2 linked regions of the Tribolium castaneum genome follow. The protein of the gene in region 1 binds, or shares a complex with, the protein of each later gene. Links are inferred from orthologs where the notes say so. Each region holds a gene or a part of one and is shown in the gene's direction. Other genes may lie near its edges.

The links. Proteins that work in one complex are often made in the same cells at the same time.
Region 2: the proteins of RabGGTb (region 1) and Ykt6 are in contact, whole or in part, in a crystal structure (PDB 6J7F), measured with the Homo sapiens proteins. The link is inferred for Tribolium castaneum from reciprocal best matches to the Homo sapiens genes RABGGTB and YKT6. Residues at the interface, in NP_004573.2 of Homo sapiens: Thr3, Pro4, Gln5, Lys6, Asp7, Ile9, Lys11, Tyr37, Leu45, Trp52, Leu236, Asp238, Cys240, Arg281, Gly283, Asp284, Met285, Asp287, Phe289, His290; in NP_006546.1 of Homo sapiens: Lys60, Gln62, Asp63, Leu65, Asn83, Glu84, Tyr85, Pro86, Ser87, Leu153, Asn155, Thr156, Glu158, Arg189, Lys190, Cys194, Cys195.

The regions. Positions count from the first base shown.
Region 1 is NC_087395.1:14,839,405-14,842,253, reverse strand, and holds RabGGTb (geranylgeranyl transferase type-2 subunit beta), read left to right. Parts: upstream 1-1,177; 5' UTR 1,178-1,235; coding exon 1,236-2,237; 3' UTR 2,238-2,347; downstream 2,348-2,849. Other genes in the region: lipase member H-A, read left to right, coding at 2,398-2,566. UniProt on the Homo sapiens protein: Catalyzes the transfer of a geranylgeranyl moiety from geranylgeranyl diphosphate to both cysteines of Rab proteins with the C-terminal sequence -XXCC, -XCXC and -CCXX, such as RAB1A, RAB3A, RAB5A and RAB7A.
Region 2 is NC_087398.1:3,641,804-3,644,615, forward strand, and holds Ykt6 (synaptobrevin homolog YKT6), read left to right. Parts: upstream 1-1,329; 5' UTR 1,330-1,480; coding exon 1,481-1,670; intron 1,671-1,719; coding exon 1,720-1,991; intron 1,992-2,036; coding exon 2,037-2,174; 3' UTR 2,175-2,294; downstream 2,295-2,812. Other genes in the region: stc (protein shuttle craft), read right to left, coding at 2,353-2,812. UniProt on the Homo sapiens protein: Vesicular soluble NSF attachment protein receptor (v-SNARE) mediating vesicle docking and fusion to a specific acceptor cellular compartment. Functions in endoplasmic reticulum to Golgi transport; as part of a SNARE complex composed of GOSR1, GOSR2 and STX5.

The DNA.
Region 1 (2,849 bases):
TGATTTGTGAAATCGGTGAGAATTTTAATTATTGTACTTTAATCGATTTTGATAGTTGCATGTCTACAATTAAAAAAGATACGGGTAATAGCTAAAGCGTGTCCTGGGAATTTCTTCGTAAATTTTTATCAAAATTTTTATATTTAAAATGAGGTAATAATAAGAAATTAAAGCGGCACCCAATCAAAAAATCGTCTGCAGCGAATATTATATCTGGTAAAAATTTCATCAAAATGGCTTATGAGATCTCAAAATCTCCTAAAATACACAAAACGTGAGGCTAACTTGACTTGTGTAATAGCTGTAGGAATTTCAGGCAACAAACCTTCAAGGGACTCGTTTTTTTTCGTAGTCTCCTCCTCGATGCCCAATTAATTAACATTTTAATTATCAATTATACCAACGCAAACTCGAGTTAGAGGGGAATTCGCGTTTTAAATAACCCTTCAAAACAAAGTTTGTTAATTAAAAACTCTGTTTGAAGAGACGACACTGTCAACTTTTTCATGACAAAAAAGCTGTAAGAAGAGGAAAAAATGAAATATCAATCTGACAGGCATGGTTGATATTAGCGAGGAAAATTAATTGTGTAAGAGGTGGCTTTAGCGTGTTGGTGGAAAATTTTTCCTGCTCTTCACACTTTCACGCAATTTTGCCATTTTTCAGCACCTACAATTGGAACGAATTAATTTGCATTATTTAACTGACAACGAATTTTAAACAAGTGAAAAAACACGCTGGAACCTTTGCTTTGAGGGACAATAAAAAGCCAACATGTTTCGGTGTTTTTGTTGGAAAAGTGGAAAACATGGACGAGGATAGGGATGCATAAAATTTGCGAAATCAATAAAAAGAAACGCAGAAAACTCGTCTGAATTCGTGTTATTTATTTCGTTATATCTAAAGTAATCGCCAGTTGTTTCCATTATCACCACTGAGAGAAAAAAACTAAAAAATTCCCATAAATGGAAATTTTTGAAACGAAACGAAAAACAGTGAAACCTGTACTATTATTACTTTCGTCTTCGCAATAATCGATTAATCTGACCGCATTTATGATTGAATGCTACCTTGGTAATCAAACTACTGGTTACTTTCACCGTTTGACTAGCAATGAGGTTTTCAAAACGGGCGGCAAAAATTTTGAACTTTTTCAAACTGTCAGTGTTGCCAAGCCACCGACCCCAACACGCCACTTGTCATCTTGACAGCAAATATTGTGGTTATGTTTGACAATGGCAACACCAATAAAAGACGTGATTTTGAAAGAAAATGCGCCAGTTACGATACTTTTCGACAAACACATCGAATTCCTGCGGGACTACGGCAAAGACGACAACAATTTCGAGTTCGGTATGACGGACTACCTCCGCGTTTCCGGCATGTACTGGGGCTTAACAGCGCTGGAGCTCCTCGACCAGACACATTCCTCGCCTCAGGAAGAGATCGTCACTTATATCAAAAACTGCCAAGACCCGGAAACGGGCGGAATCAGTGCGTGCTTGGGGCACGACCCACATTTGCTCCACACTTTGAGCGGCGTTCAGATTTTAGCAATGTACGACCGATTGGACGCAATTGATGTCGAGGCTGTTGTGAAATACGTCAAGTCGTTGCAACAACCCGACGGAAGTTTTACGGGAGACAAATGGGGCGAAGTTGATACGAGGTTTTCGTTTTGTGCGGTGGCCACCTTGTCTCTGCTCAAGAGACTGGACGCTGTTGACGTCGACAACGCCGTGAAATTTGTCGAGTCTTGTATGAATTTCGACGGAGGGTTCGGCTCGCGGCCGCTGTCGGAGAGCCACGCGGGGTTGATTTACTGTTGTCTGGGGTTTTTGTCAATAACCCACCGTCTTGACTTGGTGAAGAGGGACGTTCTAGCGTGGTGGCTGTGCGAGAGACAGCTACCGTCGGGGGGCCTCAACGGCCGGCCGGAGAAGCTCCCCGACGTTTGCTACTCGTGGTGGGTTTTGTCCTCCTTGACTATTTTGGGGCGACTTCATTGGATAAGTGGCGAGAAATTAAAAAAATTCATTCTGGCGTGTCAAGACACCGAAACTGGGGGCTTCGCAGACCGGCCTGGCGACGTGCCTGACCCTTATCACACTGTTTTCGGCCTTGCGGCCCTATCGCTGCTCGGCCAAGCCGAAATCAAAAACGTCAATCCCACTTACTGTATGCCGCAACACGTTATTGATAGCATGCAACTATCGCCTCAAATATTACGTGATTAAAATTGATAGATCCAACCTTATATGCTAATTTTGATAAGTTTTAGCCCGCACGTGATTTTAATGTATATTGGTTTAATTTTATAATGATAATAAAGCCGATTTCTAAGTGATTTGTGTTTTGTTTGGACTGCGGTCCGCATAATTGATTTTGATGATTTAGGTCGAGCCCGGTGTAGCCATTTTCAAAGTGCCTGCTTTTTCTCCACAACTATACGGAAAACGAACGCGCATTTAGGGCGGCCGTGTGTCACCACCTGCCCCAAGAAGTCCTCAAATTGGGGGTACTTGCCCGGGAAGCCGGTCCCCATGGGAGAAGACACACCGTTTGGGTGGGTATTCAAGTCTTACTCATTATCACTGCTTTCAAATTAAAACTAGAGTCTCAATAACTTTTGATATTGAGTAAATATTACTTCAAACAAAAACAGCTCAATTAGTTTAGTTATTTATTTAGTAAATTTTTAAATCCCCTTAATTTTTTGAAACATTTTTGAATAGTTGGCGCTTTGTTTTCAAATCAAGGTTGATTTTTGAGTTTTGATCCCAGTAGCCCCCAATTTTATACAAATTTAATAAAAAAAATGAAATATGATGATTCCAAGGTAGTGTAAA
Region 2 (2,812 bases), on another chromosome or scaffold:
TGAACCCCGAAAATGTCCTCACTGTGGTGGCGCTTCACCAAGGCCCACTCCTGAGGGGCCCCTTGCAGAAGCGAAGAACACATTGCCATTTCACCGCAGGTTACATCAGCCCCGAATTCTTTACAAATTCGTCTGAACGGTAAATTGCCAACTGTTGTTAAAGGGCTCAAGACTAGTTTGTCCCTCCAGTCGATTTTTTTTTTTTTCTCGTTGAGTCAATTTAATCAAGTCTTCATCACTAATGGCCCCACTTGTTTTATTATCGTCCTAAACACCCAAATTTAAATAAAACGAGTAAAAGTAGTACAAAATAATTACACTTTTCTTATTGTCATTGAATTTAATTAAACTCTCGGCGAAGTCAAAATTATACGTCCGTTTGCGTAACGCGACTTGTAGTTCGTGCGTTAACTGATTTTTTGCTTGCGCTGTTTCTACCAATTTTTCCGAATTGATTTTATTTCGGCCTTGGTCAATGTGACTAGAACCAAACCTACAAGCCAGACCTCTGCCACACCGTCCGAAAGTTTCATAATTGTAACAAATCTCTCCTAAAACCAAGAATTAAGCCCAAATTAATGCACAAGCACAAATAAACCGATATCTTTTGGCTTGATTTTCAAATATTCGTCAACGTCGTGCAAAAACTGGCAATTTTTGCGTTCACATTTCGGCGCCTTTTCGCCAATACTTAAGTTAATCAAAGTGTTACATAATTCCGTCTCTCGGGTGCACCTAAAAGTAGGACCGCGCGATTTATTCTGACCCCGTAATTTTTTCTTTTCGCTTTTTGATAATTTGGGTTTTTTTTCGGGCGGTGTCTCATCGTTTTCGGCCAATTTGCGTTTGTCTTTATCAGAAACGCACTCTAATGCCAATTCTCTTGGACGTTCTGTGAGAATAAATCTAAAATAAGGGTGAAATGTGGGGTTATATCACGTGGGAAAATGAGCAGTCTTACTCGGGCTTGATTTTGCAAATGCCGCTGTCCCCCATATTACCCTACTTGCGGTGTTAATAGAAATTAGACGTGTTGGTCAAGCATTAATTAAAATCTTTAATTATTTAAAACTTTTATCAAAATTGACAGCAGTAATGGTTGTTGGTAACCGTGTATGGTTTTGGTTACCAAAATTTTGGAAAATACAAGTTATAAAAACGGGACAAATCAGTTCAAAGCGAAAATCACGGGTGCTGTTATTTGTAATTTATTCTCTTATATGATTCCGTTTTTAATTATTATCCTATTCAATTAAAATAGGAAAATAGGAAGGTTGGTTGACCTGGCTCAACGTCATCCGTCAGTCAAAAATTATCACCTGTCAAATTTTATTATTCGTTCGTGTTTATTGGCAAATTATGTTTGTTTAATTGCTTTGGCGTAAATCCTATTCGTGATTTAACTTTTAGAAAGCTCAAGAAATGTGTACGATGGCATGTCTTATATAATTCCGTTCTAATTCCCGAAAAATCGTTAAATATGGTCAAGTTATACTGTATTAGTGTTTTGTATAAAGGACCTACGAGTGCAACATGGTTAAAATCAGCCTTTGACCTACAAAGTTTCAGTTTTTTTCAACGGGGATCAGTGGAAGAATTCATGACTTTTTTTTGTAAAACAATCGTCGAGAGAACAATACCAGCGTCACGACAGTCCGTAAAGGAAGGAGGTTTTTTCCACAAGCATTTATTTACACAAATAATGTAACACTTTTTCAGAGTATATGTGTCACGTTTATGTGAGATCCGATAATTTAGCCGGCGTTGTTATATCAGATCACGAGTACCCAACACGGGTCTCACACACTTTAATTACAAAGATTTTGGACGAATTTAGCCAAAAAATCCCGGCTTCAAGTTGGCCCAATTTAACAGAACGCGAAGTGGCGTTTCCGCAACTCAACACTTACTTATCCAAATACCAAAATCCGCGCGAAGCTGACGCTATGACTAAAATTCAAGAGGATCTCGATGAGACTAAAATAATTCTAGTAAGTGGTTGTGTCAAATGACAATTTCCACAACTAATTTTCCAGCATCACGCAATTGAAAGTGTGCTTCAACGCGGCGAAAAGCTGGACGATTTGGTGTCAAAGTCGGAAGGTTTAAGTATACAGTCAAAGGCGTTTTACAAAACGGCTCGCAAAACCAACAGCTGTTGCACGTTTAGTTAAATCATTCCTTATTTACCCCAATTATTTAACAGCCTGGAAGTTTGGATGTTCATATATTATTCCTACTAATAACCGTTAAATGTTGAATGTATATTTACGACAATAAATGTAATGACCGGATTTTTACAAACCAATTTATTAACCTTCAAAAATACTAAACATAATACGTTATAAAACATTACACTGGGGGGTTATCGAAATAATCCACGGTCTCTCCTGATGGCGTTCCCCTCTGCCCCCTTCCAGGCAATTTCAAGGCAACGGTCTCCGACTTCCCCAACGTCCCTTTGCTCAGAACCGGCCCTGGAACCTTCCTCTGCCCATTTTCCCTCTGAATAAACTCCAATAGACTCATACTCGGCAACCACGACTTGTCCTTAAAGGCAGTTGCAACGATATTTCGGTTGGGTTCCGCATCGTAGGCGGCGCTTTCACACCCAAAATGCTCACAATACTCGTGCACGAAATGTCTCTTATCTCTGTTCATTGACTCAAAAGAATACGAACGACTCTTTTGTTTACTCTGCTTAGCCAATTGGACCAACTCGGTGAGCTTTTCGTGCACTTTTTGGCAAAACTGCGGGTCTTTTTTCGCCCAATTTCGCATAAAATCGGAGTAACGAGGAGTCAGTTTTTGA